2 linked regions of the Schizosaccharomyces pombe genome follow. The protein of the gene in region 2 binds, or shares a complex with, the protein of the main gene of each other region. Each region holds a gene or a part of one and is shown on either strand. Other genes may lie near its edges.

Region 1 (6,669 bases), on a different chromosome or scaffold from region 2:
AGATAGACAAGTGCTAAACTGTTTGGCTCGACAAGTTCAAGAAGAGAACAATCACTCCGTAGCAGTGGCACAGCTTCAAGAATTTTCTTTTCGTTTCGAGCAAAACCTTATCGCAAAAATTAAAGACACGGTTAAGCAGTTTGAGGGCATGATGAATCAAACCCATGTCAAAGCTATTAATCACCTCCAAGAAGTTGTTCGCGTATCAGAAGCACAAACCCTTGCTGGCGAGTGGACCGGATACGCAAAGCGTGAGCCGGAATTTATTCATGGCTCTGTTCCCCCCCGCAGCGTTGATGCTATAAAATATCCTGGTAAGAATGACCAACCCACTGTACCTATCATGGCTGGTTATTTAATTCGTAAAACAAGTTTTTTAAAGAAAAAACAAAGAGGTTTTTATGCCTTTACACATTCTGGCTATCTTTACGAATTTAAATCTTCTGATTCACTTCAAGATCCTGAACCCGAATTCGCCCTTTACATACCTGATTGTCTGATCGGTCGCCCTTCTGAGAAGAAACCCAAGTTTAAAATAACTGGCAAGGATGCTACTAAGAAAATTTTTGGCGCGCGAAACGATTACGCGTTTCGCGCTTCTAACAACACCGAACTAATGAGATGGTGGGAAGCGTTGAATACCCATATTGCTAATGTGAACTATATACAACCTTTAAGCAACGCAAATGGTCCATCAGCTGTTTCCGACAGTGATGATGATGATGATGATCCAAATGACTTCCGTCCAGCCGTCGAGCGTCAAAGTTCTACGATGAATACCCGTATGTCGCAACCAAGCTCTGCTGTCAATACAAATCGAAGTTATGGTTCGGAACAAATTCCCTCATACGCAGATAGCCAAGGAAATTCTGGCGCCAACAACAACTTTATTTACAACGCTAGTGCTACTGGTCATAATGCTTGGAATGTATAAAGATTGTATATTCGCAAATTAGGTACGAAATGTGCTCATGTATATTTGTTACACTGCCGTTGTGTTTTAAATGGCAGTCTTTGTAACTCCCCCATACCCGTCTTAATTGTATCTTTTTGATTCCCGTTTAAAGCACTTGAATGTTGATTGTGAACCATTTTACTGTTACTGTAATGAATTCATGATAGTGTTTCTTGATATATAGTGAACTTTTGAAACACCAGTCAACAAATATATAGGTATTATATATAAACTCAGAATAAATACATTTTCTGTTCACCCATACCTGTGGCTGATGACTGTTTCAATCGGGAAAGTTACTTTTTAATGTAGCAGGTTTCATTCCGATATATCTCAACCGCTCGTTTCATGTTTATTAATTTAGCAGCTGGGATGATGGTATATACCTTGTAAATAAAGTGCCTAACATACTTTTATTGGTTTTTGTGAATTAGCTGAGCGCGTTAGTGAAGTAAATTCCCTTAATTATGAAAAGTACTTCTATTATTCCTTATTGGCATTATTCTTTTAATTGGAAACGGAAAACTGAAGAATTGTATTACTGTTTATAGCATTTTCGGTACTTTCTGGACAAATTTCGAATATACTCGTGTTCAAACCCGAGAAAAATATTTTCTAGATTTTTATATTATCAAAGAACACTAATTTTAATTGAGCATTTCAGGATTTTTGAAGTTGATCGTTTAATTTATCACAGCTATCTTGATATGTGTAAAATGAAAGTATTTATTACTCTTTTCATCCTTTCAAAAATTTTATTAATTAATTTACTTTCTATTGGAAACGAAAAGGTTAGCATCGTTTGCTGTAAGCGCAGGTTGAGAATAATTACGTCGATGCTATAATAACGAGCGAAACTCTAACTTTAAAAATCATCTCGCTTAATGAATTTCAAGGTAGCAAAGATTGTAAATTCGTCGAAATTTGCTAAACAATTTAATTTAAAGCAGTAAAGTTCACAAAAAACATACCGACATTTAACGAATCGGTAAAGAAATGTTTTCGAAACTAGCAAAACTCACCACCATGAAAAAAAAATTTTCAGGGTGGCTACACAATTTGTACATGGAATAAGTATCCACTTATTGAGACTCAAGATGTCGAATGATGTTGATGATGAGTCCAAGATTGAAACAAAGTCTTATGAGGCTAAAGACATAGTTTATAAATCCAAAGTCTTTGCATTTAAGGATGGAGAATATCGAAAGGCGGAGATTTTAATGATTCAAAAAAGAACTAGAGGCGTCGTCTACTATGTACACTATAATGACTACAATAAACGTTTAGATGAATGGATTACAATAGATAATATTGATTTATCGAAAGGAATTGAGTATCCACCGCCGGAGAAGCCAAAAAAGGCTCATGGAAAAGGAAAATCCTCAAAACGTCCAAAAGCTGTTGACAGACGACGATCGATTACAGCACCTTCAAAAACTGAGCCTTCGACGCCTTCTACGGAGAAACCTGAACCATCCACCCCTTCTGGAGAAAGTGATCATGGATCAAATGCCGGGAATGAAAGTTTACCGTTATTGGAGGAAGACCACAAGCCCGAAAGTCTTTCAAAAGAACAAGAAGTAGAAAGGTTACGGTTCAGTGGCTCAATGGTTCAAAATCCTCACGAAATAGCTCGAATTCGTAATATAAACAAAATTTGCATAGGAGATCATGAAATTGAACCTTGGTACTTCTCACCGTACCCTAAAGAATTTTCGGAAGTAGATATAGTTTATATTTGCAGTTTTTGTTTCTGCTATTACGGATCTGAGCGACAATTTCAAAGACACCGCGAAAAATGTACATTGCAGCATCCACCCGGAAATGAAATATACCGTGATGACTATATATCCTTTTTTGAAATTGATGGAAGAAAGCAACGTACATGGTGTAGGAATATTTGTCTTTTGTCCAAACTTTTTCTGGATCACAAAATGCTTTACTATGATGTTGATCCCTTTTTGTTTTACTGTATGTGTCGCCGCGATGAATATGGATGTCACTTGGTAGGATATTTCTCAAAAGAAAAAGAGTCCTCCGAAAATTACAACCTTGCTTGTATCTTAACTTTACCTCAATACCAAAGACATGGTTATGGCAAGTTACTCATACAATTTTCTTATGAATTGACCAAGCGTGAGCACAAACACGGCTCACCTGAAAAACCACTTTCTGATTTGGGGTTGATTAGTTATCGAGCGTATTGGGCTGAACAAATCATCAACCTTGTGCTTGGAATGCGAACTGAAACCACTATTGACGAATTAGCCAACAAAACTTCAATGACTACTAATGATGTGCTACATACACTTCAAGCACTAAATATGCTTAAATATTACAAAGGTCAATTTATTATCTGTATTTCAGATGGAATTGAGCAACAATACGAAAGATTGAAGAACAAAAAAAGAAGAAGGATCAATGGAGATTTGTTGGCAGATTGGCAACCTCCTGTTTTTCACCCTTCCCAACTACGATTTGGATGGTAATTCTGTACAAAGAATGGATTAGATGCTGGTCGTCTTTCTTAAAAAAAAAAAAAATTCTCATAATTAAAGTATCTCCTAGATATATATTAATGATACTTAAAGTTTGAAGGAATAGAGACTAATTTGTAACCTTTTATTTCATTTTAGTTACTTTTGTAATTTCGATATTCCTTTGATTAGAAAAGCCTCTGCTATTGCCTTGGTTTTTTCGGCTGCTCCATTTTGCAGGATAGCTGGATATCGTATACTAGCCCACATGTATGCTACTATTAATTTGTGAAGCTGCTCTAGTTGTTGTAACTCGGTTTCAGTGGTTGGAATTCCGCGTTCTAATATTTCCAAAGGTACAGACTTCAAATCATATATTTGCAGACGTTTTCCTTGAGCGATAACACATCCGATTTCCCGAATAAATAGTGGTGCGTATTTAGAATGCTTTAACACTGGGCACCCTAACAATTTGATTTTATCTTTAATGGTTAAACCTTTTATGTGGTCTAAATATTCAATAATGAATGTGCTTAGTGCTCCTTCCGACACAACAAATGGAGTAGTCGTTTTCGCTAACTTAAAGTAACGATCGAAAATTAGCTTTTGAGGAATGTCATCAGAGAATAGTGATAAATATCTAAAGAATAAATCGTCCTTAGCTCCAATACAAGCATTGAATAAGTTCTTTGTAGGAAGATTCATGGCGCGATTTAATTTCGCAAAATCTTTTTGATATAGGGTAGTTACTATTCCAGCACTTTGCTTAGATCCATTGGGATTATGTCGGCCAGCTCTTCCTGCTATCTGCTTAATTTGTGGTACAGGGATGTCTATAGTGGAAACTCCACTAAACTTTTTTAAATCGCTGAAAACAATACGCTTTACGCCTAAGTTGAGACCCATACCAATGGCATCGGAGGCCAGCAAAATATTTTCATCAGAACTCTTTGAATTAAATAAGCTTGCTTGTTGATTACGGACTTCAGGAGGCAGTGAACCATAAATAACGGCAGATTTTTTTCCTAATGCTTGATCAATTTTAGACTTCAAAGTAAAAATGTTTTTCCTTGAAAAAGCCACAACACAATCCCCGTCTTTGAGTTCACTTAACTTTCCATTTAAGCTCTTTTCTGCAACGTGGAGAGGATTTAACCGTTCGTATCTGTAAACAGTAAAATCATCTTGGGTCATTTTAGCAATTGAACGCACTAATTTAACAACACTTTCTTCTCCGCATAAATGAATTTCCTTAGCCTGCAAGCCAAGCAAGCATTGAGTCCAAGCATATCCCCGTGAAGGATCAGCCATCATTTGGATTTCATCAATGACTGCAACATCAAAAGTAGTAGATAAGTTGCACATTTCTACAGTACATGAAACAACCTGAGGGAAAGGATAATCATTTCTAATCTCTTCCCCTGTGTAAAGATTACAAGCTATTCCGTTTGCTTGCAAGCGATTATAGATTTCGTGAGCCAAAAGTCTTAAAGGGCCAGCAAATATACCTTTCTTGCAAGTCTTAAGTCTTTCTAAAGCCCTATGTGTTTTCCCGCTATTCGTTGGGCCGACATGCATAATGATATGCCTTCTGAGTTTTCTCGCTCCTGGATACCACTCAATTGGATTTTTTAAATCTGTTAATTGCTTTTGTAAGTCAGGTCTTGTTTCTTCTATTCGCTCTTGATATCGTACATACTTCCGATACTCTGAGAGTAAACAATCATGGATCTTTTTTATTTTCTGAAGGTCAAAAGTAGAAGAAGATTTTGAAAGAGCCAATGATTTATCAGAGTTTTTTAAGTCAGAAAATCCTAAATCTGTAAGGATATTCTTTTTTAACTCATAATAGTATACATTCTGAAAGACACTGGCATCCTTGCAGACATTGACAAAGTCTTGGGCTAAGTATGCTTGTTTTGACGAAAGTTCTTTGGAAGCAAATAAATATGCAGTGAAGCGATTGAGGGCAGCAGCCCACAAGGTATTTCCTGGGAATTTCCTTTGTTGAAAAACATCCTTTGATAAAGTGTGAATTCTAGCAGACTTGCTAAAAAACGGTACACAAAACGTTACGCCATGAATCAAAGTTTCCAAAAACATTCCTGGCGAGTTAAAATCTTTCTAGCAATGCTCTATTGCTGGCCGCCCTGTAACCAGAGCAAAACTTAATCCAAGTATTTAAAGTAATTTAAAAACAAGAAATGTTTATATAGAAAATTAAATACTTCTCAAACGTCTGAAGGTCCCTGGCTTTATCGCTTTTAAAAATATTACCTTCTATTAATTAAAAAAGGAAAAAAAAAGTAATAATTTGACTACGAGATTCAGTCAAGTTGCCTGCTGAGGCCTCTAATATGTTATACCAACAGCTCTGCATGTATCTCCAAAAAATTAGTATCTCAGCAGTACCCTTTAAATTCCAGTTTTCCGCTTCAGTAAATATATAAAATTTTTTAAAAAGCGTTTATTACCTACACTTGTATTATAACAATTTCACGCATTTGGTGTTGGCTTTCGATTATTTACGCGTGCTGTAAGAAATTAGAGAACCTGTGGATTCGAACAGGAAATGAATTGTGTATCACCATGTTTTTCGATGTTTCATTTTGTGATGCGTTACATATCGTTATCCGAGAATGACTAGAGAAGGTGAGTAGTAATACCTTGTCTAGTTCACTTTGCAACACATCTTCTGTAATCTACCAAGCGTTCTTTCAAATTTCTTCGCATTAAGTTTTAAATTATAGGTCTTCAAGATGGTGTTAGAAGCAACGATGATTCTGTAAGAATTTATTTTTGTTAAATTATTGCTCTAACATGGCAGAATTGATAATTCAGAATGGATGATTAATGGTGATTATATACCTACGAGGTTTGAAGCTCAAAAGGATACTGTACATATGATTTTCAATCAAAAGATCAATGATAATCCGGAGAACATGTGTGGTTTAATGACAATTGGTGATAATAGGTATATGATTAATATTACGGCTTGAACGGTACTTTATGTTCAGCTATAAAATACTTTACAGAAATTCTAATCATATTAGTCCCCAAGTTCTTTCTACATTAACCAGAGATTATGGTAAATTCTTATCTGCAATGCACGACCTGCCTGTCCGAGGAAACGCAAAGTTTGGCGATGGTATACAGATTGCGCAGTTAGCCTTAAAGCATAGAGAAAACAAAATTCAACGTCAAAGAATTGTTGCATTTGTAGGTTCTCCTATTGTT
Region 2 (4,684 bases):
CTGCCAGTGGAAAAGGCAATAAAGCTGATACATCCGCAGAGCCTTCGTTGGATGCTTTTAACAGTACCCAAATCAAAGCAGGATCGACTGCCAATTCTAATTCAACACCGGTTGAACCCGGTGAAGATACCATTCCAACGGCTATTGTTGTGAAAAATATTCCTTTCTCGTTGGAGAAAGATACATTGTTGGATCATTTTAAGCAACTAGGTATTCCCAGACCTTATGCCTTTAATTATCACTATGACAATGGAATATTTCGAGGATTGGCTTTTGCTAATTTTTATCGTCCTGAAGAGGCTCAAGTTGTTGTGCAAACGCTTAATGGCTATGAAATTAATGGCAGACGTCTTCGTGTTGAATGGAAACGCCAATTACCAGCTGCAGAACGCGAGAAGGTGGAAAAAGCAAAGAAACGTCAAGCTGAAGAAAGACGTCGTAAACAGCAGTACAAGATGTTTGAAGTTAGCTTTACTGATCAAGGCTTAAATTTGAATGACACTGGTACCCTTGAAACTTATAGTAGACTTCTATTGTTTGCTCATCAATGCATTCCTTCTCGTGAAATAACATTTGAAACCACTTCTAAGGACGGAAACCTTCTAAATGCCATTAGAATCTTTTGCCTGTACTTTGATCTCGATTACTATGCTCGCCCGAATGGAGAGGTGTTAAAATTAGTAGTTACTCATCCGAATAAAAAGAATACGAGCGTAAGTCAGTCGCAACCTGCATCTCCAAATTTAAGATTTAATATGCCGGCACCGTTAGCTACTCGATTTTTGCAAGAGCATTCATTGAATGGTACTAAGAGTGCCCCTATAACCCCACCTCCCAGTTTCGCAGTACCATTGACAAACCAACTTCGTTCGATTGACGACAAAATTTATGGAAATGAATCACCGCTTCAAAAGGCTTCTACTTTGAGTTCACCTTTCAATTCAAAAAATGATAATGATGCTTCTACCTCCGCTTCCAAGCAGAGTTTTGGTGTCTCCCACTTTTAGAGTCTATGCAATTATAAAGAAACTGTTTATGTACCTTTTAAGATATGATTTTTGTTTACGCCAACTATAGATGCATTTACTATACGCTATTTGTTTTGACTAAATTTTGCTCTTTATCCCTTTATCACTTACTTCTGATGAATCTAAACTCTATGGGCTTCATTTTGTTGATTTTTTGTTTTCCCTTTCACATAGTTGGTTATCCAGCAAATAATCCTTTTAAATACTTAGAAGCTTATATTTTATCGTTTTGAATTCCCACGACACATTTGGACGACTCGACTTAACAGCAATCAATGATGGATATATGTTGGGTGAGGCATAATGTTTTATGACGATAATCAACGGATGAGCGATGCTCCTATTTTTTTACAAATTATAACGATTTTTCTTGTATAAGAAATTTATGCCCTACCGTATAATATACACATACTTTACATGATTAAATTTAACCTTGGACAAATACATTAGTCTGATATTACAAAATTGAACTTTTATTTTTGTAAATTTAATCATCTTCTTTATGTGGATGTGAATGTTCCTAGCTTAGTATTACCGTACTATGGATATAGAAATAAACCTACGATTTAAAGTCTATTTTCTACCAAGCTTGTAGGGCTTTAAATGAGCTACTTTAAAATTACCTAAAATATCGTTAAATTTTCCTATATAATGCGAATTGATTTATATGTAAAAAAGAAAAAGAAATTGCAAGCATGGTGGACTTTTAGTTCCATTGTTAGTAAGTTGTAATTAAAGGAAGTTACAAAGGATTCACTAAAATAAGAATACTTTATGGGTTATCGCAGCCTTACTCAATTACTGCACTTGAATGTCTATTGAATTTAAGAATGAAGAAAGGATAACACAAAGATGCACGATTCTTTTTGGATGAACTTTTATTTTTTGTTAAGGTTATGAAAAAAGATGAAATACACTTGACCTTGTAATTACTGCAGCTAGAAAAAGAAAATATTATAAAAACCAGTTTCATGAGTTATGGCTGGAAGTACCGCACAACACCATAAATATTGATAATCTGCTATATTGCCGATAATATAAAGTTAAATTAGTAGAAAAAGTAAACTAAGAAACAGAAATTTTCTTATTTTACCCATATAAACCTATGTATTAGAGGATAGCAATTGTATTTATGAGTTCGAGGGGAACAAGATCATCAACTGCTGCCGAGCAGAAAAGGCAGGAGGATGTAAATAAAGAATCAAATATGAATGATTCTGTTACTGAATGGTCTGTTTTAGAGGAAACCTTACTGTTAAAAGCTATTTGTCGTGGATTGCGCCCTGTAGGTAAGTGTTCGAAAGGTTAATTGCTCGGTCTCTTATTTTAAAAGCTGCATGTTATCAAATTATTGCATTCATTCACTAATTAAAAAATAGGAATAGAAAAAAATTTTTATATGATAGGGATTTTACGAGAAATTCGTGATGGCTGCAAAAGATCAACAATTAAGGCTCAGGACGTTTGGAATAAATTAGGAACACTTTATAATTTGAAAGAGTTTGAAGAATTGGTATGTCAAAAAGCCTTTTAATTTTTTGTTTTCAAGTATTTGTTGACAGTTTTTTAAATTAGGAAGCTCCAGGAAATGAAGAAGTTAAGGCGAAAGAAAAACGAATAAAGTCGCCAGATGTTAAAGATTTTAAATTACCAAAAGATATTCTTAAAGTAAAAGAAAAATCCGAGAAACCATTGGAAACATCTCAAAAAGTGGAGATTGAAACGGTAGAAACTAAACCCGGTGAACCCGAAGTTAAGCAGGAGACGAATTTACAGAAAGAGAAGAAGGAAAGTAAAGTCAAGCTTGAATCTAAAGAAGAGAAAATTTCTCGGAATTTACGATCCTCTTCTAGAAGTATTTCTCCTGTTACTGAACAGCCGCAAAGTCCAAAGATTCAGCCTGTTATTCCCGAAAAAAAAGAAAAGTCTGAAAAGAAAGAGAGTTCCATGACTTTGCGAAAAAGATCCGTCTCGCCATCTTCTCAAAATACAGCCCGTTCTCCAAAGCGTATGGCTACTGAGCCCATAGAGCCTGCTTCTTCACCGGCAGCTTCAAACCAAGCTATTCGCCGTAGCTCTCGAAGCCGGAGGCCTCCGACCTAGCTCTTGTTAACAGAAAAACCTAGGATGGGAAAGACTGATTATTTGTACATATCATTTATGCTTGGTCTACTCTAATGAACGGTTATTTATATATGAGACCAAAATTAATTATCACAAGGGATTTATAAAAAGTGAAAAATAAAAAGAATTATGATTTTACTACAACTAATATTTTGTATGTCAAGGAGATTTGTTTTAGCAGAATTATAGGTTTAATGGGATCGACGGCATGTCCAAAACTAATTTGCTTTTGCAGTTTTACTCCTTTTTGATGCTCGATTCACGTAATGGGAAAAGACGAACGGCTTTGTTACAAACAAATTTACTCTGATTTACCGCTACGATTTTTGAATCCCGTCACTTCTTTACTGTTCGTTACGATGTTTTATGTAGCTATATATACTGTTTGATAGCTTGACTTGCTAAAAAAAATCTTCTAACTGTGAGTTTTCAATTTTAATTCGATAGGTCCATATGTTAATGTCGATTTGGTTGGAAATATGTTTTAAAGTATGTTTAACACGCATAGACAGAGAGATTCCAATAGGTAGTATACATATTACTTTCAAATTGATGAGCAAATTGTTTTCAAAACCTTACACAGGTAACGATTTGATCAATGAATTTTTCAATTCCGGTGAAACGGACTTGAGTATTCACATGAGTTAATGTATTATTTATCGGCACATCAGACCATTGCCTAGCAGAGTCTGCCGAATTTAACAACTTTTAAAACACAATAGATCTATAAGTACAGCTCTCTAATAGCAAAGCAAAACTGAGCAACCCGTCATTGCGAAACCTTTAAAAGACATCAAAAATACACAAACGCGCTTGCATTCAGGTACATAAACATGCAGCGGGATCTACTTCATAGAGTTTCGTAGATTCCCTTACTTGAAAGGTTAATATCGTACATAATTTTCATACTGTGAGGCAAAAATCTCATTAATATTTAGTATTCAACAACATAAAAACAATTTTAGCAATTAAACTTGAAACCGTTTAATAAACAATGGAAGTACACTAACAAAGATAATCCTAGTGTCTCTCTATTCAGAATTGATATTCGCCGTTTTACCGACCTGATAGGGTAATAGGGCTCACTATCAGTTACACATAGAAGGATTACCAGTTTATCTATCAGCACATAAAATTTGATATAAATAGTGCATCTAGCCCAAAAGTAGTAAGAAGTTTTTCCTATATATATATATAGCGGCCTTCCGCTTGGTAGATTTCATCTTTGATGTATTCACACACATTCTTGAAAACTTTGAATTGTTTAGTCAAAGACATTGAAAGCAACTTGTTCATTGAATTAATTAATTGTTCAAATTGGTCAAACAGTCAAACACAAGGAGAGATGCTATTAATTCAACGGCAAAGTCTCGTCCCAAAATTGCCATGATATAATAATTTTTCCAAAAAAAGAATAAAATGTATGTGAGATGAAATTTTTTAATGAGAAAACTCGGTATTGTGGTAATGAAATAAAGACTTATGAAGGAATAAAGACGCTGATGAAATATTATTGTACAATTGGCGAGGAT

The links. Proteins that work in one complex are often made in the same cells at the same time.
Region 1: eaf7 (region 2) and mst1 share a complex: the UniProt entries of both Schizosaccharomyces pombe proteins name them as parts of the nuA4 histone acetyltransferase complex.

The regions. Positions count from the first base shown.
Region 1 is NC_003424.3:4,558,159-4,564,827, reverse strand, and holds mst1 (histone acetyltransferase, KAT5 family Mst1), read left to right. Parts: upstream 1-1,998; 5' UTR 1,999-2,052; coding exon 2,053-3,444; 3' UTR 3,445-3,591; coding exon of another isoform or gene 3,592-5,535; 3' UTR 5,536-5,727; downstream 5,728-6,669. Other genes in the region: slm1 (cytoskeletal signaling protein), read left to right, coding at 1-934; ATP-dependent RNA helicase Rpm2, read right to left, coding at 3,592-5,535; 19S proteasome regulatory subunit Rpn10, read left to right, coding at 6,192-6,217, 6,260-6,406, 6,486-6,669. UniProt on the Schizosaccharomyces pombe protein: Catalytic component of the NuA4 histone acetyltransferase (HAT) complex which is involved in epigenetic transcriptional activation of selected genes principally by acetylation of nucleosomal histones H4, H3, H2B, H2A and H2A variant H2A.Z.
Region 2 is NC_003423.3:4,258,796-4,263,479, reverse strand, and holds eaf7 (NuA4 histone acetyltransferase complex subunit Eaf7), read left to right. Parts: upstream 1-2,018; 5' UTR 2,019-2,160; coding exon 2,161-2,317; exon of another isoform or gene 2,318-2,407; coding exon 2,408-2,541; exon of another isoform or gene 2,542-2,603; coding exon 2,604-3,131; 3' UTR 3,132-3,668; downstream 3,669-4,684. Other genes in the region: RNA-binding protein Cip1, read left to right, coding at 1-1,007. UniProt on the Schizosaccharomyces pombe protein: Component of the NuA4 histone acetyltransferase complex which is involved in transcriptional activation of selected genes principally by acetylation of nucleosomal histone H4 and H2A. The NuA4 complex is also involved in DNA repair.